7 linked regions of the Mus musculus genome follow. The protein of the gene in region 6 binds, or shares a complex with, the protein of the main gene of each other region. Links are inferred from orthologs where the notes say so. Each region holds a gene or a part of one and is shown on either strand. Other genes may lie near its edges. The genes, in order: Ppil2, Snrpg, Cd2bp2, Sf3b2, Cript, Snrnp40 and Snip1.

The links.
Region 1: Snrnp40 (region 6) and Ppil2 share a complex: the UniProt entries of both Homo sapiens proteins name them as parts of the minor spliceosome. The link is inferred for Mus musculus from reciprocal best matches to the Homo sapiens genes SNRNP40 and PPIL2.
Region 2: Snrnp40 (region 6) and Snrpg share a complex: the UniProt entries of both Homo sapiens proteins name them as parts of the U4/U6-U5 tri-snRNP complex. The link is inferred for Mus musculus from reciprocal best matches to the Homo sapiens genes SNRNP40 and SNRPG.
Region 3: Snrnp40 (region 6) and Cd2bp2 share a complex: the UniProt entries of both Homo sapiens proteins name them as parts of the U5 snRNP complex. The link is inferred for Mus musculus from reciprocal best matches to the Homo sapiens genes SNRNP40 and CD2BP2.
Region 4: Snrnp40 (region 6) and Sf3b2 share a complex: the UniProt entries of both Homo sapiens proteins name them as parts of the minor spliceosome. The link is inferred for Mus musculus from reciprocal best matches to the Homo sapiens genes SNRNP40 and SF3B2.
Region 5: Snrnp40 (region 6) and Cript share a complex: the UniProt entries of both Homo sapiens proteins name them as parts of the minor spliceosome. The link is inferred for Mus musculus from reciprocal best matches to the Homo sapiens genes SNRNP40 and CRIPT.
Region 7: Snrnp40 (region 6) and Snip1 share a complex: the UniProt entries of both Homo sapiens proteins name them as parts of the minor spliceosome. The link is inferred for Mus musculus from reciprocal best matches to the Homo sapiens genes SNRNP40 and SNIP1.

What each region holds. Positions count from the first base shown.
Region 1 is NC_000082.6:17,104,753-17,108,252, forward strand, and holds part of Ppil2 (RING-type E3 ubiquitin-protein ligase PPIL2), read right to left. Parts: intron 2,473-3,500; coding exon 2,427-2,472; intron 1,304-2,426; coding exon 1,241-1,303; intron 1-1,240. UniProt on the Homo sapiens protein: Has a ubiquitin-protein ligase activity acting as an E3 ubiquitin protein ligase or as an ubiquitin-ubiquitin ligase promoting elongation of ubiquitin chains on substrates.
Region 2 is NC_000072.6:86,370,252-86,374,339, reverse strand, and holds the start of Snrpg (small nuclear ribonucleoprotein G), read right to left. Parts: upstream 2,801-4,088; 5' UTR 2,758-2,800; coding exon 2,726-2,757; intron 1-2,725. UniProt on the Homo sapiens protein: Plays a role in pre-mRNA splicing as a core component of the spliceosomal U1, U2, U4 and U5 small nuclear ribonucleoproteins (snRNPs), the building blocks of the spliceosome.
Region 3 is NC_000073.6:127,193,278-127,197,419, forward strand, and holds the start of Cd2bp2 (CD2 antigen cytoplasmic tail-binding protein 2), read right to left. Parts: upstream 2,801-4,142; 5' UTR 2,652-2,800; exon of another isoform or gene 2,185-2,651; 5' UTR 2,162-2,184; coding exon 2,084-2,161; intron 1,882-2,083; coding exon 1,746-1,881; intron 1,625-1,745; coding exon 1,467-1,624; intron 1,365-1,466; coding exon 926-1,364; intron 845-925; coding exon 738-844; intron 654-737; coding exon 543-653; 3' UTR 1-542. UniProt on the Homo sapiens protein: Involved in pre-mRNA splicing as component of the U5 snRNP complex that is involved in spliceosome assembly.
Region 4 is NC_000085.6:5,292,656-5,296,643, forward strand, and holds the start of Sf3b2 (splicing factor 3B subunit 2), read right to left. Parts: upstream 2,801-3,988; 5' UTR 2,740-2,800; coding exon 2,607-2,739; intron 2,433-2,606; coding exon 2,386-2,432; intron 1,722-2,385; coding exon 1,644-1,721; intron 665-1,643; coding exon 425-664; intron 1-424. UniProt on the Homo sapiens protein: Component of the 17S U2 SnRNP complex of the spliceosome, a large ribonucleoprotein complex that removes introns from transcribed pre-mRNAs.
Region 5 is NC_000083.6:87,024,168-87,028,360, reverse strand, and holds the start of Cript (cysteine-rich PDZ-binding protein), read right to left. Parts: upstream 2,801-4,193; 5' UTR 2,702-2,800; coding exon 2,686-2,701; intron 663-2,685; coding exon 597-662; intron 1-596. UniProt on the Homo sapiens protein: As a component of the minor spliceosome, involved in the splicing of U12-type introns in pre-mRNAs. Involved in the cytoskeletal anchoring of DLG4 in excitatory synapses.
Region 6 is NC_000070.6:130,384,132-130,387,332, reverse strand, and holds part of Snrnp40 (U5 small nuclear ribonucleoprotein 40 kDa protein), read right to left. Parts: intron 2,852-3,201; coding exon 2,769-2,851; intron 1,380-2,768; coding exon 1,318-1,379; intron 1-1,317. UniProt on the Homo sapiens protein: Required for pre-mRNA splicing as component of the activated spliceosome. Component of the U5 small nuclear ribonucleoprotein (snRNP) complex and the U4/U6-U5 tri-snRNP complex, building blocks of the spliceosome.
Region 7 is NC_000070.6:125,065,303-125,069,471, forward strand, and holds the start of Snip1 (smad nuclear-interacting protein 1), read left to right. Parts: upstream 1-1,369; 5' UTR 1,370-1,450; coding exon 1,451-1,650; intron 1,651-2,704; exon of another isoform or gene 2,705-2,787; coding exon 2,788-2,890; intron 2,891-4,169. Other genes in the region: Dnali1 (axonemal dynein light intermediate polypeptide 1), read right to left, coding at 216-296. UniProt on the Homo sapiens protein: Required for pre-mRNA splicing as component of the spliceosome. As a component of the minor spliceosome, involved in the splicing of U12-type introns in pre-mRNAs. Down-regulates NF-kappa-B signaling by competing with RELA for CREBBP/EP300 binding.

The sequences.
Region 1 (3,500 bases), on a different chromosome or scaffold from region 6:
TGGCAGTAAGCCAAGTGTGGTGTAAGCTTAGCTACTTGGGAGATGTATGAGAATGGGAAGTCATTTGAACACAGGCCAGGGCACTACAGTGAGACTCCCCCACCCTCTGCACTCACCAAAGAAATCTGTGCACAGGGCTAAGAGGGCATAATGATGATCCTGGACAGTGACGTCATTGGGGTAAATTGTTCTATTCAAGTATTTTTTTATTTTTTTATTTTTATTTTGCAAATTTTAGAAAAAAATGTAGGATGTAAAACAAGCTTAGCTGGAACATGCAACAGGGTGCAGTGCATCAGAGTGCAATGCAGGGGACTCTGCATCTCTCACCATGCAGAGACCATCCAGCACACCTCTACTGCACATCTGTAAGCAGCTGGCCTCTAAGACAGGGGGGAGAAGGACTCACTCCACTGCAACAGCATCTGCCAGCTAGTGCTGCCTGAGGCCTGGTGGTCCCTCCCAGTTACCAAACAGGCTCACCTAGATGTCATGAGATTTCTAGGGACAAGATTTTAGTAACTTTGACCCTGCTTAGAGCCACAAACTCTATATTCCTTTCTCTAATTGGTATCAAGAATCCTGTCATATTTATTAAGTCAAAATTAAATATAGAGTGCTGGGGAGACAACTTAGTGGATAAAGGACTTTCTCCACAGCACAAAAGCCTGAAATTTGTATTCCATCCAAGAACCCATGTTAAAGCCAGACACAATGAGGCTGAAGAGATGGCTCAATGGTTAAAAGCAATGACTGCTCTTCCAGAGGTCCTAAGTTCAATTCCCAGCAACCACATGGTGGCTCACAACCATCTGTAATGGGATTTGATGGTGACTACAGCTAGTGTACTTAAATAAACAAACAAACAAACTAACTAAAAAAAAAACCAAAAAACAAAAAACTAAAGAAAAAGAAAGCCAGCTAAAGACAGCACCTATCTGTAACTTTAGTGGGAGCTGGAGGCATTGAAACAGGTGGAACCGGGAGCCTGCTGGTCAGCCAGTCTTGCTGACAGTGCCAAATTCACTGACAAGGTCTTGTCTCAAAAAAATAAGATGAAGAACAACAGAGAAAGCCCCATGAGATTGACCTCTGGCTTCCACATATAAATGTATCTGAACACAATTGCACATACACAAATACCATGCACCTGGGTGGGCAGGCACACACACACACACACACACACACACACACACACACACACATAAAAAGAAATTTAAAAATTCAAGAGTAAACTCACAGCAAGTCAAAGACGACACCTTCTGGGGTGCAGACTGGGTAGACAAAAGGCTGGAGAGAGAGACTGAAAAGAACAGAAACCCCTCGTCAGCTTCTAGGCACACTGAGCATGCTCTGGGTCCCACAACCTGCTCCACAGTTCTGAGTACCCTCTGTCCCTGACACCACGTCATAAGGATAAGCTGCTGTCCCAGGAGCTGCCTTAGTACTTGAGGCAGCAGCAGCCCACTTCATGTCACATAAGAGGTGCCTCATGATGGCCTTGAGGAAGCAAGCTGGGATTCCCTCTCCAGACCCTCATAGAGCAGTCAGACTAAGCTTCGCCCCGGGGCATCCTCCCCGTCCCAGGGTTTAATGAGGCCCCTGTGGTACTGTCTGTACACCACCCTGACGTATGCTGGGCACATGGACTGGGGTGGAGGCCTACAGCAGCCTCAGCTACCACAGCTACGCTTCACATGTGTCTGCAGCTGTGAGCTGCCTGGGCCACTGCTGATCGCCCTTTCTTGGTCTCAAGCCTTTAGTTCTAGTGTTCTCGAGGCAGAGGCACGTCAGTCTTTTTAAGTTTAATGAGTTCCAGGTCAGTCAGAAGCCAGAGCAGAAAACAGACCCTACCTTAAAAAACAAAACAAGGGGCTGGTGAGATGGCTCAGGGGGTAAGAGCACCCGATTGCTCTTCCAAAGGTCCGAAGTTCAAATCCCAGCAACCACATGGTGGCTCACAACCACCTGTAACAGAGATCTGATGCCCTCTTCTGGTGCGTCTGAAGACAGCTACAGTGTACTTACATATAATAAATAAATAAATCTTTAAAAAAAAAAAAAACAAGCACTAGAGAGATGGTCTAGCAGTTAAGAGCACTGACTGCTCTTCCAGAGGCCCTGAGTTCAAATCCCAGCAACCACGTGGTGGCTCACAACCATCTGTAATGAAATCTGATGCCCTCTTCTGGTGTGTCTGAAGACAGCTACAGTGTACACACATATAATAAATAAATAAATCTTTTTAAAAAATCTATGCAAATATGCAAGGATGGCAGCCTATAATCCTAATACTTGGGAGGTAGCAGCAGGAGATTCAGGAGTTCAAGGTCAGCCCAAGCTGCAGTTAAAACACACACACCTGTTTTGGGAGAAATGATACTCAACCAAAGCCAAGGGAAAACAGAAGGATTTGAAGCTCTCACCTGCAGTGGTCAAAAGGTAAGCGGCGAAAACTTGTCTGTGAGATATCTGTTAAAGATGAAATAAAAAACAGATAACCTATTTGGAAAATATTTCATCTATGTATACCTACCATTAAAACTACATTACTACAGCAGGCATGGCGATGCACTCCTTTAATCCCAGTACTTGAGAGGGAAGCAGAGACAGGTGGAACTCTGTGAGTTTGAGGACAGCCTGGTCTACAAAGCGAGTTCCAGGATAGCCAGGACTGTGCACCCAGAAACCCTGTCTCAAAAAACAAAAGACAAAGCAAACAAAAACAAAAACAAAGCTATATTACTATGAATTAAATTTTTTATTGCTGTTGTTTCGAGAAAGAAGAATGTATTATGTGTTACTAGAGATCAAACCCAGGGCCTTATATATGCTATATGCTAGTTTCATCACTGAACTATACCTCCAGGCCCTAAATTAAGAATCTTTTGGTAGTTGCTAGCCAGTGGTGCCACTCACCTTTAGTCCCACCACATGGGAAGCAGAGGCAGGCAGATCTCTGCATTCAAGGCCAGCCTGGTATACAATGCAAGTTCTAGGACAGCCAGGGCTACACAGAGAAACTCTATCTTGGAGAAAAAAGAAAAAAAAAATCTTCTGGTAGGGTTCAGAAAGATGGCTAGGCAGTTAAGAATATATTCTGCTCTTATACAAGACTTGAGCTCAGTTCTTAACACTCACATGGTGGTTCACAACTGCCTGTAACTCACCAGGGAACCTAACACCTCTGGCCTCTAAGGGCAGGTATCTATTCATGCATGCACGCACACTCACACACCTCAAAATAATAGGTGCTAGAAAAATGGCTCAGTGGCTCAGTGTACTTCACTGGAGGTAGAGACGGAAGCAACTTACTGACAAGCCAGTCTAGCCCATCATTGAGCTCTAGGTTTAGTGACAGACTCTTGTCTCAACACAAGATGAGCTGAGAAGTGAAACACACCTTTAATCCTAGCAGTTGGAGGCAGAGGCAGGTAAATTTCTATGAGTTCAAGACCAGCTCAATCTACATAGTGAGTTCCAGGGCAGCCAAGGCCACA
Region 2 (4,088 bases), on a different chromosome or scaffold from region 6:
TTTAAGACAGTGTTTCTTAGCTACCCTGGTTTTGTAGTTCTTTGCCTCAGCTTCTCAAGTAGCAGACATTACATGCCTATGCCACCAGGCTGAGCTTCATTGAATTGTTTTTTGTTTTGTTTTGTTTGTTTTGGTTTTTTTTTTGAGACAGGATTTCTCTGTATAGCCCTGGCTGTCCTGGAACTCACTCTGTAGACCAGGCTGGCCTCAAACTCAGAAATCCACCTGACTCTGCCTCCCAAGTGCTGGGACTAAAGGCGTGCACCACCACTGCTCGGCTGCTTCACTGAGTTTTAATGTATAGACCATGATAGAATTTAAATATAAATTTAAGCCATAAGAATCTGAAGGTGGAAATAGATTTATAAATAACATTTATAAATTACTAGGAGTTATTTTGTAAATCAACAGAGGAACATATTTAACACTTACGATTCCGGTACTATTATTACCATGTTATACAGATGGAGAACTGACATTCAGTGTGGAGGTTGAATGAGAATGGCCTCCATGGAGTCACTTATGTGCATGTTTAGTTCGCAGCTGATTAAGTGTTTGGGAGGATTAGGAGGTGTGGCCTTGTTGGAGGAGGTGGCACTGGGAGTGAGTGGGCTTTGAGGTTTCAAAAGCCAGCCTAGTGTCTCTCTGCCCTGCCTGCTGCTGCGGTTCAGCATGTAACGCTCTCAACTACTGCCTGCCTGTTCTTCCATGATGATCATGGCCTCTAAAACTGTACGCAAGTCCCCATCAAATGCTTTCTTTATTATAAGAGTTGTCTTGGTCACGATGCCTCTATACAGCAAGAGGTCAGTAACTGAGACACTAATGTGCAGAAAATTGTTTTTAGTCATATACCATGCAAAATATGGCTGCTGGACTGCAGATGGGGTGGGGCTTCAAAGCTGGGTTAGGAAGTCTGGACTTGACTTTGTGGTGATATAAACTAGTATAGCAGAATTCATCAGTGGTTAAGACTTTCTGTGGCAACACATTTTAGGAGTTGGGAGGAGCTCAACTTTGAAACTACTGAGACACGGGACCAGAAATGATTAAGAACTATGGAGTTATGCTAAACTAGGAGTGAATAGCTGTAAAAGGAGGTGTTTATGAGAAAATAAGGAGGCGGATCTAAAAGTATTTCAAATTTGATAAAATGTAGGGATGAGAAAAAGGCATCAACTCAGAGAAGAGAAGTTCAGTGACAAAGTAGCTCACACAGGCTCTGCTCCAAACACGCCAATAAAAATATGGACACAATCACTAGTTCCAGTCTCTGAAAGGCCCAAGTATATCTGTTAAGAATCAGAGGACACTGAAGATTACAGGTAGGGAACAGTGCTTTTGTTCAAAACCAATGCCATTTTGCCAATTCCTGCTAAATCCAGACCTCATTTATTAGCTCATCATCAAAACAAACAGTGCAGAATAACTTCTTTTTAAAATGTCAGACTTATGGCTTAATACATCTTTATTATGTTGTGTTCTGCCTATAGGCCTGCAAGCCAGAATAGGGTACCAGATCCTATTACAGATGGTTGTGAGTCACCATGTGGTTGCTGGGAATTGAACTCAGGACCTCTAGGAAGAGAAGTCAGTGCTCTCAACCTCTGAGCCAACTCTCTAGGCCCGGTTTAACAGATTCAGATTCAAACAAAACTGCAGGGGTTTCACACAGAGGGCTTTGATTAAAATGTGCACTCAAATACAAAAATCAGCAAATGTTGTTATCTTTCCCCTGCATTGGGGTCTTGACAGAACTTTACAGTAGCAAACAGGCTATACACAAGACAGATTATTTTCTGGCTACACCAGAAAAGACCCAGTATTAATCTTGTATTGAGCAACCCAATGACTATGTGCATATGCGACAGGTTCAGGCCAGTCAGAAGTGTCTGAGACCAAAGGGTCTGTCTGATTTTACTGGGTACAGAATAAAATTCTTCAGAAATTAGCTCTTTACAAGTAGAAAATGGATGTCCTTCCATGGATTTATTGCCAGAGCAAGATATTACACAACGTTTAAATGTAACTTGAATACAAGGACAGTGTATCAGAAACCTAGTTCTTGGGGCTGCAGATGGCCCAGCGCTTATTGCTTGTCCAGAGGACACGAGTCCAGCTATTATTAACCACGCCAGAGGGCTCACAACCTCCTACAAGTTCTGTTTCTGCAGATCCAATGCCCGCTTTGGCCTCCGCAGGAGCTGCACCCACGTGCACAAACATATAACTAAACATGTCTCTGAGCACCAAAAAGGGGAAAAAAAAACCCCAAAACTAAACCTAGCTCTCTTGATGAACGCAAATGAACGCGCACATTTATTGAAACACAAAACGCTACCTCACCTTAAACTTTTTGAGACACAGTGTCTTTTTTTTTTTTAAGCCTAGGCTGGTCTGGAACTCGCGGTAATTCTCCTGCCTAAGCTTCCTGAATATTGGCCCCATAGATCACAGCCAATCACGTCCGACTCCAATCGATCATTTTAAGCCCACGAGTCTCCGGTTCCTCACAACCATGCACCTCGACCGCTGCCCTGGTCCCCAACCAGGTTGCCTTTGGCTGCCCGCCTAGGAGAGCCCCAGCTTTGGGAAGACAGAGGCACCGGCACTGCAGTAACCATGCCGACCGGACCTTAGCGCCACTTCCGGCTCCCGCGACCGTCGGGACCAGCGGCGGCAGCCCGAGCGAGACAGAAGTCTCGATAGGGCCGACTCTACTCACTTCTTCAGCTCGGGAGGGTGGGCTTTGCTCATGGCGACTCCTCTGCGGGCTCGGCACAACGGCGAAGGAGTGAGCAGGCTCAGAAACGCGCGCAAGGCAGGCTTGGCGCTGGTGTCTGACGTCACCGCCGCGCGAGCCAATCGCCTTCGGAGAACATTACCTTTCATCTCGCGATATTGATGGGGATGTCTGAACCTGCGGACCAGAGCCACGCTTCCGGTTGCGTCGCCAGTGACAGGCCACGACGGAGAGGCTGTGTTCGGCTAAGCTTCCTTTGTGTAAAATTGAAGTGGCAGGTCACTTTAAAAACAGACCCCTTCATTTATATTTTATGTATGAGTGCTCTACATGTACACCTGCGCGCCAGGGGAGGACCTCAGATCCTACTATAGATGCTTGTGAGCCACCATGTGGGTGCTGGAATTGAACTCCAGAGCTCTGGGAGAACAGCCAGTGGTTTTAACTGCTGAAGCGTCTCTCCAGCCTGTGTGTCACTTCTTTTCTTTCCTTTTCCCACTTACTACACTTTTTTTCTCTTTACATTTTTGTCATTTCCCCTGCCCCTTCCTCATTGTTTTTGACGTAATTCATGCTGGCTTCGAGTTCACTGTGTAGTCAACGCTGGCTTTGAACTGTTGCTTCCCGTGCTAGAATCAACGGCATCTGCACCACGCTGCCCTTAATTTCCTAAGCACATCCAGGCGAAGCCGAGGGCTCCTGAAGCACAGAATAGCTTGTCCGCATCAGTAGCAGGAAGGTGGCTAGGCGGATTCTCTTGAGGACGTGAATCCAGTGTCTGGGGTATTTCTGATTCATCAATTCTGCAATTCTAACGCTGCCTTCAGAACCCACTTAGCACACTACAGTCCATACATAAAAGCTGAGGAGTACCACACAAGTCCTGAGGTATTGAGCTTGCCCCTGCCTCCTGAGGGCTGGGAATAAAGGTGTGCACTCTCCCAGGGTGGTGGCACTGCCCTCAGTGCACTGGGCTCTCTCATGGTAGTCATTAATGACCCACAGACATGTCCAGAGACCTGTTAGATGGAAGCAGCTCTTCAATTGAGGTTCTCCTCATGATTAGTTTGTCATCAACAAAAAAATAGCACAAGAATGCTTAGCTATACACTCTCCCCACCACTTGCTGTGCTAGTTGAAACTAGAAAACGAACATGAATAATGATAGTCTTTAGCAAAGACTGACCTCAAAGCAGGAGGGAAATCCTCAGCTTGCCTTACAGTACTGAAATTACAGTATGCACCTTTTACAATTTAGTTATAATATGTAAGTACACTGTAGCTGTCTTCAGACACTCCAGAAGAGGGCGCCAGATCTCATTAGGATGGTTGTGAGCCACCATGT
Region 3 (4,142 bases), on a different chromosome or scaffold from region 6:
GGGGCGAGGGGTAGAAAAATCAGACTATGGAAGAAGAGAATGCATGTTTAAGAGAATCTCTCAATAGGATTTCAAGGTCTTCCCAATGTCCCAGCTACAAGGGAGCTGCCAGGACAGAGCATTTGAGGTCCTAAAAGTCAAAGATCAGCAGAACAGGGACTTGCAAGGGAGACTGGAGAAAAGAGTGATGGAGGGAATTTTACACAGCAAGTAGAAGTTGTCTACGTAGGAAAGTCACAGGACATCTGATGGGCCCTACCTCTGCCTCCAAGGGTGGGAAAAAAAACTGAGGTGGTCCAAGACACCAGAGAGAAGCAAGTGAGGAAGTCTCTCGGGAAGAAACGCTCAGGGACCTACCAGGTGAAGCCAAAAGGAGCTATGGAGAAGCCCTGGCTCTTGGCCATCGCACAGTCAAGGCTTTTATTGGGAAACAATGGCTTTAAAGTGGCCTCCAATATCCTCACTGCCCAGAGCAGCTGGGGCTTCCTCTGCCAAGTTCAAGAAAGAAGGGGCTGCCGTGCCGCATGGGGCCCTTAGCGGGCTCACGTGTACAGCTCAAAATCAATGCGCTTGGAGTTGTAGAACTGGCCGCCCGGAGGGTCCAGCTTCCGACAATAAACACCATCCGGGAAGTAACCTTCACTCACCCACGTCTGTAAGAACAGAGGACAGAACTCAGGCAAGCTGACAGAAGGTGGGCTGGACAGATGGGACAGACGCGGCAGGGGGCAGCTCACCTGCATCTGGGCACTGGTGAAGGGTCCATACAGCTCGGCGTCCCCCGTGTTCTCCCATTTATACTCCCACATCACATCCATCAGGCCATCTCCTGCTGACTCTGCCTCTAACACAATGAACGATACTTGGGCCTCAAGCACTCAGTCTCCAGCCCACACTGCCCCCCACCCGTGCCCTCCAAACTTACCCTCTCTTTGGGTAGGGGTTGGGGTTTCCAGTTCACCCTCTGCTACTTCCTCAGCAAACATGTCCAGGGAGGGTGGAGGTGTGGGGTCATGGGATCCCTGGGCCCGACACCCCAAACCCTTCAGTCGCATAGCCAACCGTTCCCTTGTTTCCTGGTACACACCAAGGTTGCCTCGTGCCACCATTTGGTCAGCTAACCCAGACAGCCGGTCTAGCCGCTGGGGGGAATTGGGCCGTCCAGTCCCCTTGCTGTTGCTCCCTTTGCCTCCTCCTCGGGCCCCCAGCCGCCTAAGGGCCCCAGCCACTGTCTCTCTTGGCAACAACAACTCCAAAAGTCCCTCCAGGAGTGCTTGGGCGCTCATTGGAGTCTGACCCAGGCTGTCTTCCTCCTCCGAGTCTGAAACCTGGTGCTTATCAGGGGGCCGTTCCTTGATCCTCACCTACAAGGAAAAGATAATTAGAATTTCTTACAAACTTCCACCAGGGCCCAGGCCCTGCACCTGCACTCCCAGGCCTCAGCCAGAATAGTCCCTGGGCCACACCCAGTCAATGTTGTCCAGCCAGCTGTCTCGGATCTGCGCATCCTGGTTCAGGAAGTAGTTGCCATCAGCATCAAAGTGGCCTTCCTCCATCTCTTCCTGCAGGTTGAAGGGTGTGATCCTCACACCGCCCTCACTAGGGAGAGTAGCTGCTTCCTGACCTGCACCGAAGACATTGGGGGTGGGGCATGCTAGACACGCAAAAGGGAAGCAGGCACACCTCCCACCTCCATCCTGAAGGCTTGTCCCCCCAACTCAGTTAACGCTTCGGACATAGCTCACCTTCTACATCCTCTGAGGCCAGGATATCATATTTGCTGGACCCTTCCTCATCATCATCCTCTTCATCACTGTCTAAAGAGTGCTTGCCTTTGAAGCGGCTCCCAGGACCACCTGCTGCAGCCACAGGGTCCACCAGCTGTGAGGAGGCCGAAGCAAATGAGAAATGCAGCCAACTGGGTAGTTCCCCAGATACTCCAGGATCTGTACACAAATCTTTCCAAACCCAGTGCGCCGGGGAAAACTAACACTTCCTTGGCTTCCCGGCTTTCCTCCCATCAGATTTCTCCTTCTTCTTTCCTCTCAGTCCTCCACGGAAATTCGAAATCTGGCCATCTCACCTTCTTTTTGGGCACACTGATTTCATCTTCACCATCCTCATCTCCAACACCCTGAAAAGTCACTTTCCTCTTTGGCATGATTGGCTGTGGATTTCCTCCAGCTGGACCTCGGAAAAAGATATGTAGTGAGGAAGTGAGGTAAGGAGAGAGGACCGCGGGGGAGTGCAGGGGCCACCAACATTTTTCCTGGTAAATGTGAGCGAGGACAGATCGCTAAAGCATCTGAGAGAACTAGCAGGCACGACGTCCGGGGTTGGTTGGGCAATTCTGAGGCCCGGAGGAGAGGCGATGGGAAGGATCTCCGCCCCCGCGTGGACCCTGCGGGTATTCCCACCCGGGGATGGGGAGTCAGGTTCCCCTACGTCACCACTCCCCTACCAGTCCGGAGCTACCGAACTCAACCACCTCTCCCACCCGAGTGCTCACAGAGGCCGGTCGGACCCAAGAGCTGGAGCTGCCTAGATCCCCGAATACCACGTAGCGACCTGCTCGGCCATGTCCTTGGCGTACAAACTAAAGGCGAAGCAAACCCGCGGGGATTCAAACAATCTTACCCGCCGGTGCTCACCTAGGAACCCAGGGTCAGGCGGGGAAGAAAAGGAAAGATGCTTTCGCCGGTATTACATCCGGGGCACCCGCCTTCATCACCCGGAAAAAAACCGTGGAGACCGGCATAGGACCCGGAAGTGGCTTCACTTCTATTCAAAAAGGGCGGATGCATACCATTAGCCAAGGCCGACTCGCGGCAGGAAGTGACGCAAGACCTGCAAAGACTCGCGTGAACTACGTCCTTGCCTCACGGGACTTGAGGATGGCGGGAAATGTTTTATTATTCCTCTACGATGGAGGCTACAGTGAGGATAAGGACGTGGTGTGCTAAGAGGTTCCCAAGGCCTGGATGGAGAGGCACAGGCCGAACAGAGGCTTCGGGCTTCCGTTTGCATGTATGGATAGGGTTCTGTACGCCTAGTGGCCTTCAGTAGACACCCGGGCTTCCGATCTTAACGCAGTCCCAACACTCGGGAAATTGAAACAGGATTGATTGTCGCGAGATTGACGACAGTCTGGGATACAACATGAGACCGTCTATTTTTAAAGAAAGTCTTGCTCTTCTCTCTGAGTCCTGCTTCTGATTATAAGCGCTCGGGCACCTTCCAAACCAAGCCCTTTTAGAACCCAGGAGTCATTTGCACCATGTCTATTCTCCCACTTAATTCCTAGTTTCTGTAGCGGGACAACCATCACAGGAGGTGCCACTGGCTTCCGTCCGTGGCCTGTAACCAGGCAGAAGCCCATCAGTTACACGAAGCCTACCTCATCCCTTAGCAAACTGCCAAAGGGCTGGGATCCAGCTCCTGCAAAGCTGGGGCCAGGTGAGATCTTCCCCAATAGTGAGGTTTAGATCTGGAGCTCTGGGGAACAACTCAAACCTCAACGCCTCCACCCCCGTCCCCACCCTCGGCTAAATAGCTCCGGTGATCCTACTAGAGTTGGAAGAGGGCAGCCAGATGGACCACGCCTTTCTCCTCCAGGGTTTTCTCCCATTGTGAATCATGAAACTTCACTTCTGTGGGTACAGAACACAAGTTCTAGACCAGGAGGGCATCTTGCTACAGACAGGACCCTGAAGAAAGCAGCTCTCAGCACTGCTGGTTCATCCGGAGGGGGTTTTCTCTACCTGGAGACCACACACCCTGATCCCCTTTCTGCTGAGAAGTGCCAAGTGGAGCTTTACGGCCACAGAAGCCCACACCTTTATCATCCTGACCCGGAGTAGAGGGTGTGTGGCAAAGATCTAGCCACAGAAAACAAGAGCTGCGCAGTTTGGTTGTGTGTACCTGCTGGGATGAACCCCAGGCAGTTAGTCTACCCTAGACGCCCAGGGAACTGCACCAAGCTGCTGACCAAGAACCCAGCCCAATCTAAAGATGGTGGTTTTGCACACACTCTCAGGCCCCTCCTTCAGCTTCCAGGGGGCTGAAGCCATTGGAAAGGCGATCCCAGTCCTGCAAGCTGTGCAGAGGATCCCAGGAGGCCAGTGAGAGTGGGAGCAGCAGAA
Region 4 (3,988 bases), on a different chromosome or scaffold from region 6:
CATCCACAAGCAGGGCACACATAGTGTGCTAACTCCTGGACTACAGAAAAGATGGAAGCACTAGAACCTATTTGGTTATCAGGTAGCCTCCAAGGCAAATTTGAATGAAGCATCTTGGTTTGGACATTAAATAATGTTAAATGGCATCCTCTGGATAGAGCAAGATGTCAAGTCAGAGAGAAAAACATCACCGTCTTCCAGTACCCCAAGAGTTCATGTTGCTTCAGTGAATCTCACACTAGCAGCAATAGGGCCCAGGCCAATCTGCCAAAATACTGGCTTCCTGGGAGTCTAACTATACCTACGTTCTAGTCTTCAACCAAGACCTTCCTAAAAGGCTTGGCCTCAGGGTCTAGCTTTCTCAGGCTCCATTTCCCCGTCAGGGACCTAATGTGTCCCAGGTACAGGTTTCCACCTGTCCTACCTGCTTGGCACGCTCCTCTTGCTGCATCAGCAAAGCTGCCTGCTGCTGTGCCAGCTTCAGCCGTTCTTCTTCTGACAGCGCCACAGGCTCACCCACTCGAAGAGGTGGTGGGGGCCCCAGATTTGGTGGGTGAGCCATAGGAAAGCCAAGGCCAAGGCCTGGTGGAGGTGGTGGAGGTGGTGGAGGAGGCTGTAGAGGGGGAAGTCCCATAGGTGGTGGTGGCATAGGAATCCCAGACAGCTATGGGGAAAAAAATACAGCTATGAATTAGAAAGCATTTATTCAATTTATAAGCATTTGCTAGAGACCTAGCAAAAGAGCCAGATACTAGAATTTGAAGTCTAATGACGTAGGATTCAAGAAAATACACCATAAAAGAATCAAAAGATGCTAACTTTAGCACACTGATCAAAGCTATTAGCTTCTCTGAAAAAATATGAGGAACATTCATATTACATTTTGCATTCAATTTAAGGAGGTACAAGGACACCTCTAAAATCCATACAGGAACTTCACAAAACACACATACACAAACACACCAATAAACTCCAGGTCAAAGCCACAACTTTAGAGGAAGAGAAACAAATACTAGAATCAGAAAGGACTTAAAGAAATAGGAACTAGGGCTGGATAGATGGCCAAGCAGTTAAGAGCTGCTCTTCTATAATATCAGGGCTCAATTCCCAGCACCCCGATGGAAGCTCACAGTTCTGTAACTCCAGCCCCAGAATGACCCAACGCCCTTCAATGGCCTCCTAAAACACTGCATGCACGTGACGCACAGGTAGAAACTTGGACAAAATACAAATTCAGACAAAACACTTATATACATAAAAATAAGTTAAAAAAAAAGTAATAACCAACATTCCAAGGCATAGGATATCTACGTTGTACTAGATGCAGGGAGTATATTATTCAAGTCAGGGCATTATCCTTTACCGTTTCAATAACTTTGGGAGCTATACCTGGCAGGAGAAAGCATGACCACTTCCAGCTGAGAAAGGATCAAGGAACATTTCCAGATATTCTAGTGGAATCTTGAGTGATAAGTCAAATTTGGAGGAGTAGACATTGGGGATTAAAACAGTAGCAGCACTAAATCAGAAGTGAAGAGGTCACAATTTTGTCTCCTTAGACCTCACCCTTAACTTACGGTCCCATCTGCTAGCTCAACACATGGCTATCCTGAGCAGAAAAGATCCTCGAAGCAATCTCTTACCTGTGCTGACATAGGAGGAGGAGCCGCTTTGTCCCCATCTTCTCCTCTCAAAACTGGTCGATTCAGGACAATGCCCGTCTACAAGAAAAAAGAGAGCTCTAGGTCAGACTACAAGGACGTATTCCATTACATAACCTCCTCTTCCATTTATTTACTTAACAAAATGTACCCAGTGCCCACTTGACAGAGACTGGGGCTGGAACCTGAGAAAAGCAACAGGAGTAGAAGTAATTACAATAAAGCAAAACCAAGAACTGACAAAATGGTCAAGAGCCGGCTTGCTGCGTTGAAGTACACAAAAAAGACCTAGCCCGGTGTGCTGGAGCACTCGGAAGGCAAACGCATTAGGATCTCTTAAGTTTGAGGCCAGCCAGGGCTACACTGAGAAACCCTATCGCGAAAGAACAAACAAAAAAAGTATATGAAACGAAGATCCAGCCGCGGAGTGGTGGCGCACGCCTTTAATCCCAGCATTTGGGAGAGGCAGGCGAATTTCTGAGTTCCAGGCCAGCCTGGTCTACAGAGTGAGTCCAGGACAGCCAGGGCTATACAGAGAAACCCTGTCTCAAAAAAAAAAAAAAAAACCAAAAAAAAAAAAAAAAAGAAAAGAAAAAGAAAAAAGAAAGAAGAGAAGAGAAGAGAAGAGAAGAGAAGAGAAGAGAAGAGAAACGAAGATCCATCCGTGAGTAGTCTTAAAGGCCTCCAGGAAAAGTGAGACCTAGCCTGCACTGACAACACTCACCTGACGGGTGTAGGTCTGCAGCCGCTCTACTAACTCCTCGCGACTCCCTATAGGACGAAGCACAGAATCAGGGGGTCAGCATCACCTCGAGCAGGCCAATTTGGCGAGGTCAGGTCCCACAGGCCTGTCTCCGCCCCCCGCCCCGTGGGTCTCCTGGGTAACCAAGCTCCACTTCGCCACAAGCCCACGCAGGGCCCCTCTCGACCGCCTCTGCGCCTCACCCTGGATCGGCGCTCCTATCTCTGCCAATCTGGCCTGAAGCTCCTGCGCAGCCCAGGCTCCATAGTGGCCTGGAGGTGGAGGCGGTGGCAACTGCAACTCTCCTTTGGGAGGTTCGGGATGCTCCGCCGCCATCTTAGCCACAAGAAGGCGCGAGACCAACACGGAAGCTCGGGTCAGCCGCCGGGCCTACTTCCAGAAACTTCCGGTTGCGTAATCCACGTCCCGCGGTGATTGGAGAGAACTTGGTCCAAACACACGCCCTTTCCCTTACCGGGGAATAGGAATCGCCGCCAACGGAGGTTGCAGAGCCTTCTGGGAGTTGTAGTTTGCGGATGCGCCATCTAGAGGACGAACGCTCGCTATGACATCCGGTATGCAGCAGTAGTAATACATCCGCTGCCTGGCTGCAAGAGCTTACTCTACCCAGAGCAGATGCATTCTTCTTCTCTCCTGGCCAAACACATACTAAGTCTTCTGTCCCGACACCCTTCAATGATGAGAGACCTGGGTGCTTATTTCTCCTAGGAGCTCATAGAGATTCCTTTCCGGCGCCCGAATGGGAGGTTGGTGCCGATGGCTCTGATAAAACAGTGTTTGTCTGCTCACTCCCGCCCAGGCGTGCTTGAATGGGCTGAAAGGGGATCGGAGCCGGTGGAGGAACGGACCGCCAAGCTGAGTTCCAGCTGCTGACCTGGGGGAAGGGCACTGCTAAAATAAAATCCCCTTTTGCACCTTCGAAAAAGTCTTAAATAAATGTATTCTCTGTCAAATGCTTCCTTCCCCCTTTCGAGGAATGTTCATTAATACATTTTCCACCTTTCAGGTGTTTTATTATATGTATATGTACCGCTTGCATGCCTGGTATCTGTAGAAGCCAGAAGTGTCAGATCTGGAACTGGAGTTACACTTTTGTGAATCGAACCCAGGTCCTCTGCAAAAGCAACAGTGCTCTTAACACCAATTCTCAAGCCCCAAGGTTTTTGTTGTTTAAGACAAATGTGTCCATATGTGGCCCAGGCTACCCTAGAACTTCTGATCCTTTGCAGGCTACAGATATATACTATCACACCCGATTTCATGGAGTGGAAGATCAAGAGTCATGTAGTTCAGACTGTCTTGGGACAAAATCGAGCCCAAGCCAACCTCTAGCTCTTGGCAATCCTCCTGCCTCTGCTTCTTGAAAACTGGGCTTACTGCTGCCAGCTAATCCATTGTCTTTGTTTCATTTTTAAGTCTTTCCTGTCCTTTATTCCCACCTCCATTCCCCCAAACAGGATCTGGAACTTGATCTTCTTCTATCTTGAAGTATTTAGCATCCAGGAGGCAGCTAATAAATGAGTTGGGAGGTGGGGGTATCTAACCTGGGGACTTTATATTCTTG
Region 5 (4,193 bases), on a different chromosome or scaffold from region 6:
TTATTGTTCAGTCTTAAAGTAGTGCTTTGACAATGCCTACACTCTTTTTGTATGTGTAACATCTGTCTACTTTGGTTTTTTTTTGTTTGTTTGTTTGTTTTGTTTTGTTTTTGTTTTTCGAGACAGGGCTTCTCTGTATAGCCCTGGCTGTCCTGGAACTCACTTTGTAGATAGACCAGGCTGGCCTCGAACTCAGAAATCCGCTTGCCTCTGCCTCTCAAGTACTGGGATTAAAGGCATGCATCACTGCACTGGGCTTTGCTGTATGCGTTTAATAAAAAAAAAAAGTAAGGCAGTCTAAATTTGTTTGAGAATGTAAAACTTAGATGTGGGAAGGAAATGTAAACACAGACTTTACCAATCTGAATCAAATAGACATACATTGAAATAATAATTTTACTACTTCTTGACTATATGAGGAATCCGTACATGTAACTCAGATGATGAAGAAAGATGTGCACTCCCAGGAGAACCGAGCCCTCGGTGTTTACTGGGCAAGGTAATCAGCATCTAACACTGCACTGTGCAAAATGTGACGCACCAGAGCAGGGCCACAGCGCTTGACCCAGCTCCTGTCTCCTAACAGCAAACAGTACCTGTGGTGTTCCGGGCACCATCTTTCCATGTGTCTGGAGTGATAACTCTGCCGAGTTTCTTTTCACCTGTGGTCGCCAAGACAGCAAAAGAGAACAGCTGTCATCTAATAAGCAAACTGTGTGGAAATAAAATAACAAAACCCATTTCTTTGCTAACTTTACAATAATAATTTAAAATGATAAATATATTGTATCGCCTAAAGTACATAACGATATGAAGTCAGATTATAGGAGGAACCTACTAATGCCAGGGTAGAAACCAATGAATGAAAACTTAAGATAGTAACAGTGGGCAACAGATACTGGTTCTAAATAAAACTTACAGGACAAAACGATGCTCTAGTAACAGGCTTTAACTGATTATACTTTAAGCAGTTCTGACAAACTTATTCATTCCTCTCTCTCACATTCTCTAATCACCTAGTCTGTACAAAGCACCATGCAAGGTTCTGATGAAAACAAAGCAATTTAAAATGATAAATATATTGTATTTATATGCTCCAAATGGACAGTTACTTAGTACTGTTTAAGTAGGGCACTGTTCAGGGTGGAGAAGAGCACTGGATGCTCAGTGGTATGGATGTGCCAGCTGAGGCCAAACAGTCCTCAAACACCTAACAGAACAAGGAAAAGAAAGCACACTGAAACCAAACTCCCTGGAACTCAGTAAATGCACAACTGGAGAACACGTACGTGCCAAGTTCTAAGAGGTAACTCTAAAAAATTGGAGAAAAGTAACTTTCTCGAATAATGTGTGATACAAGGGAAGACTGAACTGAGGCGGCTGCTGACATTACAGCTTCTGTATGCAAGTACCTCAGTTTACTTACGGGGTGCATGCAATGAGCAGACAGACTGAGAGGCTACAGATAATAAGACCTTAGATTTCTCAGAAGAGCAGAGGAAATGACCTTTCAGGGCACAGCACAAAGGACGGCTTCACAATCTAAATACATTTAAGCCACATTTAATTAACCATTTATCCCACTTTCGAAAAGAATAAAAAACCGTTTAAGAATGGCACAGCTCTGGAGGGGTGTCTGTGTCCAGAGTTCTACATACTGAGGGGCTATGAACAAAATGGGTCCTGTATATCCGCCAGTAACTGAGATGTGGGTTGAATCTTGTCAGAGAAGGCTGTCTAGCCCATGAAAGAGATCAAGAGAAGAAAGTTGTTTTTAAACGAATCATCAGCTTTTGCAGCTACCAAAAAAAAAAAAATTAAATATTTACAACAAATCTTAAGGGTTTCATTGGAATTACTGAATGGTAACTAAAAGGGTTAAAAAGACCTTTCTAAAAGCCAGGGGTGACTACTTAAAGATTTCTTTGGTGGTGATGAGACTCTCTCCTTCACCTGACCCAAAGCTGTGAGTATTAATGAATTGACGGGATGGCTCAAAATATCCAATTTAACTTAATTTCAGATAGCCACTGAAGTAATTTTTAAAATAAAATCTAGCCGGGCGGTGGTGGTGCACGCCTTTAATCCCAGCACTGGGGAGGCAGAGGCAGGCGGATTTCTGAGTTCGAGGCCAGCCTGGTTTACAGAGTGAGTTCCAGGACAGCCAGGGCTACACAGAGAAACCCTGTCTCGAAAAACCAAAAATAAATAAATAAATAAATAAAATCTGTATTAAATGCGGCATGTTTTGTAGTAAGGAAAAGCAGAAAGTCAAGATTTAAACATTATTCGGGACATATTAATAATACTGGAAATTAACCATTGCTTATAATCTTAAGATGTAACCGAGAGCCTGGAACTTATACTTGTGACATCTGTCAACTCTTGATGCTACCAGAAAGATCGTGAAGATCCGATTTAAGCCTCCGAGAGCCAATCAAGAAGTTGTAACGGAGGAGACCCAGAAGGGGCGCGAGGACGACAACAGAAACAAACACAAGAGGCGCAGAACTGAAGCCATTCTCAACACAGAGCGGAAGGCTATGCTTACGGGACAGGCAAGAAGGGCCGAGGGGCAGGGTAGGAAGACACCGGTTACGCCACAGACCAGCAGGGGAAAACCAGAGAAATCCCGAGAGAACTTCTCAGCCCTCCACCTCCCCCAGAAGCAGCCCCTGAACTTACACTTTTCACACACCATCCTTACATGGGGGTGTCCCTGTGCCCTCAGCCGGCAAAGCAGGAGCAGCAACCCAAACACAACAACGCCCCAGCGGAGACGACTTCCTCTTCCGGCTACGTCAGCCCGCTTCCGGACTCTCAGCCCTCCCGCTCCGGCCTATCCCGTACCTAGAAAGTCGCGGGAGGGATAAACGCGAGCTGATGGGCGGGGCTGCTCTCATTATCCCGCCCCTTCTCGTCAACGATTGGCTGTGCGCTTGTGAGTTCCCCCCGCCCCCTCGCTTTCTGGTCTGCGCCTGCGCCAGGGGCCATGCCAGCCTGTAGCACCTGAGGGTGGGAGGCGGTGGTGTCCCCCTTCCCTTCGGCGGGCGGGAGAGTTAGGTAAGCCGGTGGCGGGTTGCTTCTCACACTCGCCCGGGGCGGGTGCAGGTCGCACCGCCGACCGCTGCGGTGACTTCCAGGGCGCCACGCTTCCGGCGGACCAGAGGATGCCCTGCGCTACCGACCCTCTGAGATGCCGGCGTCTATCACAGTCTCTCAGGGGACTCCGACCTCAGGTCACCGGGTCGGCCGCACGGGCTCTCTCTATGATGGCGACCTCCAGTTGCCCACACTGCGCCGTCCGAGGCTGGGACGGAGCCACCTGGGTGGGGTGGAGCTGCGGTCCGCACCTGAGCAAAGGCTGCTCAGGAGGAGGGCTCGGGAGCAGCCAAGCCTTCCGACCCCGTTCTCACGGGATCGCGAGTCCCGAGGGCGGCTTCCCAGGTGTGGTGTCCTGGGTCGGGGACTCGCTCGCCGGTGTCACCTTTGCGTTTGGGTACCGCTCGCGCTCGCCGTGTTAGATGGGTGTTTGCCGGTGGCCTAGGATGGATTTCTGATCGCGCTTCCTGCCTGACCCCGCAGTGGAAGGGAGAATCTGAGAAACTTTCCCCAAGTCTTTTCACGGCTATGCGTTCTTGTCCCGACCCTGGAGGATTTCTTCTTGTTTAAAGAGGCGATGCTTGAAATGGCTTGTGCGTGTGTAACCTTGGCCGTATCTGCTAACTTGTTCATCCAGTTTTCTTAATCAGTATCATTTGCTTTTGAAAACGATAAGTGTGAATGAAATGAGGGCTAATAGCACCATGCCCAGACTTGCGCTTTTACCTTTCCTGCTAGTTCCTCACCCTGCGGTGTGGATGTTACTTTTTGGGCCCGATTTTTACTACATTGTAACATGTGTTACTTTTAAGTTCTTAATTAACTTTAGTCAGTATAACATAGAAACTGTTCTCTAGGTCAAATATATGTATTTAGAGACTGGAAACTATTGTTTCTCCTCCCACTCGCGTTCTGCTATTACCATTATTTAACATCTGTACAGACAGTGTGAGCCCTTAGTGTAGCATAATGACCATCTTAAGATGGTCCTCCACCATTTGCATATCTAAGTGTATACTTGGCTGTCATTTGGGAACTGCAGTGATTTTCGCCAAAAAAGTAAAATTAGTTGCTGGTGTCTGGCACATGTC
Region 6 (3,201 bases):
ATGGAGGAAGAGAAGCAAGAAGACATTACAAATCAGAAGATGTGAACTGGGCATGCTAGCATATTCCTGCTCTGAGTTCAAGGCCAGCTCGGTGTACACAGTGAGTTTGAAAACAACCAGAAATACATAATGAGACCTTGTCTTGAAACAAACAAAACCAAGAGTTTCTAAGCATGTTCCCAAAGGGAACCCTGAGCTGTGCTGAAAGCTATGAGCTGGGGAAGAGCTCTGCTTACAGGCCTCTACACTGAGCCTCCAGGAGTCATGGACAATCCTCTGTCCTTGGCACTCAGAATCCCTACTGCATCTGATTTCCTCCCAAGGGCACAGCACCACAGACACCAAAGCCAACCTGTATCTGACAGGTGAATTCTGCCCTGTTTCCCGTTCACATAACGCCTTGAGCCACACAGGAAAGTCTAGTAACTTGGCAAAGATGGAAGTTACTGAGCCCACTTCCCTCAGCGATGTTGGCACTTTCCACTGAGCCTGGATCTGGCTCTGAGTCATCTTTAACACTGGCAGCTATGACCAAATGTTGGGTTGATACAAGGGTGGATTTTTTCAAGACAGGGTTTCTCTGTGTAGCCCTGGCTGTCCTGGAACTCACTTTGTAGACCAGGCTGGCCTCGAACTCAGAAATCCGCCTGCCTCTGCCTCCTAAGTGCTGGGATTAAAGGCGTGTGCCACCACGCCTGGCTACAAGGGTGGAATTTGATTGTCACTTCTGACCTAGGAATTCATCCTTGAAATAGCAAGTCGGAATTCAAGCCATCTACTAGCAGTACCCTGGGTTTACAGAGGATGTCAAAAGATCGCCTGACTGTGAGAGGCATTCACAGGGATGTCCTAACATGTCTGTCTAAATGTAAGGAGGTAAAATACTAATAAAAGTTAGAAATATGAAGCAAAGAGCAATGTGTCATGGGAGGAAGGGGGATGGGGGAAGGGAGGAGGGAGCACTGAGAGCACCATGGATAGCTCAGAGAAGTAGCAGAGCGTTTACTGGGAAGACAGTCTAGAGAGCAGAGAGGGAGGCATGAGAGGACAGCCTTTACTGTATGGATGATGCGAAGAAAGCAGAGACACTGGGAAGACCACGAGTCTCCAACAGATATAAACAGAGTCAATTCTCTAGGCCTAAAAACAAACAGAAAACTCTATGTTTGGGTTATAATAACCTTTTATTTTCACATGGTTTCATCTCTGAGAGGCCCTCAGTCACGTGGGCAGCTGTACCCATTGTCTTCACACCCAGGCTTTAGATGTGCGGCCCACACAGCCACCTTGATCCCACCTTACACCCGAGATCCTTACCTGTCTGCTGAGCCAGCTGCTATCTTGCTTCCATCTGGAGACCAGGAACATCTCAGGAGGTTCTGGAACGAACAGAAACCCCATGAACAGTCAATGTGCCAAACTCTTCTTGTTGCACAAGGGTCAACTGACTTCATTTCCTACCAGACTGTCGTCGTCAGCCCTCACACTGCTGCTCAAAACAGCATGCTTTGTAATTTCATTTATTTGTCTTTAAATATTTATCTTATTTCTAAAAAAAAAAAAAAAAAAAAAAAAAAACTTATTTATTTATTGGTTTTTCTAGACAGGGTTTTTCTGTGTAACAACATCCCTGACTGTCCTAGAATTTGCTCCGTAGACCAGGCTGGCCTCAAACTCATAAAGATCTGCCTGCCTCTGCCTCTCGAGTGCTGGGGGAATCAAAGCATGAGCCACTATGGCCTGGTTTTCCTTATTTATTATTAATCTAAGTGTATTACTTTAGGTGATTTGACTGCAAGTATGTTTGGGCACCACATGTGTGACTGAGGAGGTCAGATACAGACGTCACATCCCCTGGGACTGGAGTTACAGACAATTGTGAGCTGCTCTGTGGTTACCAGGAAGCAAACCCTGGTCCTCTACGAGGGCAGCCAGTGCTTTTAACTGCTGAGGCAACTCTCCAGCCTGCTTTGTGATTTTATAACACATAAACACTAGATGTAGAGATGCTTAATCTAGTTATTAAGAACAAATCTGTCGACAAAAATTTGTTCTGCCTTTAAATGAAGGCTCCCTTAGCTCCATTTCCTTGATTCTATTAAAATATTTAAAAAATTTATCTTGTTTTTATTTTTCTTTGCTATTTATCTTGAAGAAAAACAAACAAACAACAACAAAACCCCAGCAAACACAGAAATAAAATTTATTTATAAAGTAAAGCAGTATTGGTAAGCTCCCAAAGGGAAGCCACTGACATCTCTAACAAGCTCTCGACAGAGAAGCTGTCTTCAAAGGAGCTGCCTGGGACACCTGAGGGCTGGGGAAAACGCTCCCGAACCCGAGCCGTGGCGATGTAAGGGGACAGATACAGACCCTGAGCTCTAACAGCTGCTATCTGAGTAACAGTGACGGGGCCTGGATTGAGATTCCCAAGGGATTAAAGGCCAGGAATGAATGCCCTGTCAGGGAGGTACTGAAGTCAGAAGTCTAGGAATGAATGAGAATGGGCCCCAGCGCTGGCTATCTGTGAGATTGTCTTCTCTTAATACACCACACTAATTTTACTTCTGGCAAGAAGAATGGTGAGCCAGGCCTGAGGGCAGCTCCTGTAATCTGAGCACATGGGAAGTTGGTCAGGAGGAAGGGCAGCTTTGGTGAAGAACTAAGTCATTCTTAGTGAGTCAACAACTCTATCCTGAGCACCGCTTTAAATATTTCTTCAAATCAAACGCACAGTAAAACCAACCCCCGTGGCAAGCCCTACTCACCTTTTCAAAGTTGTGGACATTTCCTTGAAATATCTTCACACATCTCTCTTTGGGAGCAAATGGCCGGACATCCCAGACACGAACTACAAAGCAAATCCAAACCAGTCAAGCAGCAAACACAACCAGGGCCAGCAGCTTCCACGTTAATAACAAAACTGTTTCCTGGGGGAGGAGGCCTACCCAACAGGACACAATGCTAACTGCGAAGGCTCCTTCTTTCCTTCTCCCAGTACGCACAATCTACACTAAAGCCCGGGCCACCACGACCGTCCTTCTCATTAAGCTAAGGGCACAAAGGAGAGCTGAAGAAGCAGGAGGGGCAGATGAGAAACAGTTGGGGATTTGCAGCAGAATACAGTTAGATGTCTGTCTGACACAGGCACATACACGTGTGCATACACGCACACACGTGCACAGCATTCAAACACACACC
Region 7 (4,169 bases), about 5.3 Mb from region 6:
TCTTTTCCATGTGACTTTTCTCATCTTAAATTTGTCCTCTAAGGTCATAGCTAGGCTTCTTGTTCTCTTCTCCCAACCTCCATCCCTGTCCCAATTCCCTTGGCTGTCAGCCCCAGCAATCTGTCCCCTGAAATTCCAGAGATCCTCAAAGCTGGGATGTCTTTTCCCCATGGGAGTTTGTAGGATCTCGCGTCCCCTGAGACGCCTGTTCATACCGTGGGGCTCCGTTTCTCTGTATTCCGGCTCACCAACACCGGGGTGTCATATTTGAGCAGAGAGTCTGCTGGGGGTATCATGGTGGCAGTAGGGGTAACAACTCCGTAGCGGCCCCTGTGGAGTCTTGTTTGCGATCACCATGGAAACCCCTCCTCTCCTTGCCCCATGGATGGGGCGGGGCCTCTGAGGAAGGCGGTGCCGGCCGCGTGCAAGTTTTGTTCTACTGTGCTTTCTCCGCAAGCACTAAGTTTCTTAGTAAAGAAGACTGGACCCCTAGCGTTAGGTCTGTTTCGGTTTATGATGAAATGGACAGACCACCTTTGATTAAAACGGAAGTCATCTAGTGACTCTATAGAGTATTTGGCGACGATTGGCATTTGGAAGCCAGAGGCTGGCAGATCTTTGTGGATTCCAGGACAGCCAAGGCTATATAGAGACACTATTTCAAGAAACAAAAAAGAGTTTCACATTGTTGAGTGTCTGTGTTTCGTAACTACTAATAACGCGCAAGGAACAGAGCTGGGTTAGCTTTCCCACAGGTTTTTTTCTTTTTTCAAAAAAAAAAAAAAAAAAAAAAAAAAAAAGCTGGGCGATGGTACCACACACCTTAATGACAGCATTTGGGAGTCAGAGGGAGGCAGAGTTCAAGGTCAGCCTGGTTATAGAGTGACTTCTAGAACAGCCAGGGTACACTGAAAACCTGACTATGACGGGGGGGGGGGGAGATTGTCATATATATTTTTTTGAGGTTCTGGGGACTAATCCAGGGCTTCGTACTCGCGAGGCAAACGCTCGCTCGGTAACTAAGCTACAATCTCAGCCTTCCCTCCCCTTTTAACTCTTGATTTCTATTTGGCGGTGCTGAGGATGAATTCAGAGCTTTGCGATCTATCCGAGCTACAACTTTTTCAGATTTTGAGACAGTTTCACTAAATTGCCCAGGTTGGCCTCGAAATTACTGCGATCCTCCTGCTTCAGCCTCCCGGGGGGTTGGCCCTGCCTTTTCAGTACTCCAGCCACACCTCCCAGCAGCGGGGACCCCGTGGCCACTCGCGCCGGCGTCCCCAGCGTCTGAGACTCAAACACCTGGGGCCCCGCCCATCAGGGGGGCCGACACCGTGAAGGCTTCTGGGATAGCGCGCTGCCCGGAAGCGGAAGTGCAAAGCTGTCCGTCACTTCCTACGGCTCAAGTGGCTCAACGGACCGTGCAAGTGACTCTCGGTCGGGCCGCAGGATGAAGGCGGGGAAAAGCGAGCGGGAGCGGAGCGGCCGGCGGCGACACCGGTCAGGCGACGCTCTGACGACCGTGGTGGTGAAACAGGAGCGTCTGAGCCCCGAACCCGTCGCGCACCGCCGGCCCGACGCTCCAGCCGCTAGCCTGTCCCCGCCCGCCGCCGAGCCTGGCCACTCGGGTCACCGCGGGAGCCGAGCCCGGTAAGCGAGCCGGTGATTGGGCGGAGGACGGGATGGCGCGGGGGCCGGTGGTGCGAGCGGCTCTGGAGTGCAGAGCACCTGTTGAGTTGAAATGAGATTTCCCCCGCCTGCCCGCGAGTGGATGGTGCGAGTGGCTTCTCCCCTCGTCTGCCTACAAAGACACGTTGGGTCTTGGCGACTTCTTCGCAGCACTCATTCGCCAATGCCTCCATGTGGCATCGATTTATTGAGTGCGTAGTGTGGGTTAAAGATCAATTGGAGGTACTGGGTCACAAGGCAAAGAAGAGAGATGCTTTTTCCTTGGCGAAGTTGGGCAGGCTCTAACTCGAAGAAGGAAAACAACAAATAGATAATTTCAGTCAGTATTAAAGACAGATCAAAACGGCAGTGTGGTAGCGAGAGGCTGGGTAGAAAAAAGAGAGGGCTTGTACAGAGGTGCTCCTTAACGGAGACCTGGCTGGTAGGATTGATCCATTCTCTTGAGTCAAGAGTCTTTTAGCAAAGACTCCAGGAAGGACCAACCCACTGTGGTCGGGCATGCTTGTAACCCAGCAGAGGGGATGCTGAGACAGGAGGTTTCTGAGTGTATACACACAAACACGGCGCGTGCACGATTATGACAGAAAAATATATACATAGAACCTGAGCTGGAATTCTGTTTGTTTTAGAAGTTGAACAACAGCAGCAACAAAAACAAAAACAAAACAGCCAGCATATCTGGAATTGAGAGATGGAGCAGCATTGTAGGCTGGTAGGAAGGATGTGGGATGGAGGACAGGGCAGGGCCCTGAGACCTGCCAAGGGATTGGTTTTGGTTGTTGGAGAAGGGAGTTGTGTTAGGGAAAAAACCAGGCTAGATTGGCTTCCTGGATAGTAGTGCCAGATAGTAGGATGGCGCATCCGGAGAAGAAAGGTTTCTGAGGCGTTGGGGTTGGAGAATAAGGTTGTCTAGGTGAGAAGGCTTAGCAGGCCATTGTGTATGTGGTTGGGAGAAGTGTTTATGGGAAGTGAAGGCCTGCTGTGGCTACTGATCTCACAGATGTGTTGTGTTTAGTAGGTGAGCCTGATCCTGGAAGCTAACTTACTTTCGGGAAGGAACTTTGAGGTAAAAAATCCTGTGTACCATTCTCTGTAAAGGTCCCCAGCCAAGAAGAAAAGCAAGTCCTCTGGGAGAAGAAGCAAGTCACCACGGACCAAGAGAAGCCAGAGTCCCCACTACCCCATGGTCAAAGTGAAGCAGGTGAGTGAGTGAGTGAGTGAGTGGGCAGGGACCATGGGTGGAAAGCTCCAGCCCAGAGCTGTTGCTGAACCCCAAGAGGTTGGCAGCCAGGTGTGGACATGCTTCCTTGTCACTGCAGTGGGCTTTTCTAAAAATGGGATATGTATTTGGGGCTGTTTTTCCTGAAATTTTAACGTTTGGAGACAATTGTTGATTTGATTCTGATAACTCTTGTCAGAAATAATACGGAGAGATGTACATATCCATGTTTCTCTCAATGGCAACTTCTCGCACAGCTGGACAGTGTCGTGGTCAGGACACAGACGTTTCACCACCATCAAGGTGCCTCATGATGTCTGATACTTCTCCGCCTTTATCCTTCCTTACCTCCTGGCTGGCCGCTTCTCTCTTTCTATTGTTCTGGATGCACACTTAAGCCCAGGGTCTTTAGGTTAGAAGATTGTCCTTGGTGCTGTTGAAACCAGCACAGATGGGTCACGTTGGGTCTGTGAGTGCCCATGTGCTGTAGGACCAGTTTTTCTTTTTCTTTCTTTTTTTTTTTTTTTTTTTTGAGACAGGGTTTCTCTGTGTAGCCCTGGCTGTCCTGGAACTTACTTTGTAGACCAGGCTGGTCTCGAACTCAGAAATCCGCCTGCCTCTGCTCCCGAGTGCTGGGATTAAAGGCGTGTGCCACCACGCCCGGCTAGGACCAGTTTTTCAAAGGACATTGGTTGTCTCCATTGAATTATTTTACTCCCACATTGAAACTCAGTCAGGTATATGTCTATCCATGCAGACTCGATTACTGCACTTGCATAGTAAGTCTCAAACTGAATGTCCTCTTTGCTGCATATGAGCTGCCATGTGGGTGCTAGGAATTGAACCCAGGTCCTCTGGAAAAAGTAGCCAATGCTCTTGTCTGTTGCGCCATCTCTCCACACCACCCTCCTCTTTTTCTTTTTTTCCTTTTAGCTGTTCTGGTTCTTTCGTCTCCATCTCTATGTAAATGTTCGAGAGTGTGTGTGTGTGTGATAAAAATCTTTTAAAAATAGTATTTTTTTGCATGTGTATGAGTGCTTTCCCCGCCCCTGCATGTATGTGTATGCACTGTGTATGTCTGGTGCCCACAGGGTCCAGAAAAGAGTACCAGAGTCTCCAGAACTTGAGTTAAGGCTGGCTGCAAGCCACCTCATGGGTTCTAGCAACTGACCCAGCTCCTCTGGAAGAACAGAAAGTGCTCTAACTGTAGAGTTACCTTCTAGATTCCTTAGTAACATCTCGAAAGAGGCAGGTGTTGTGG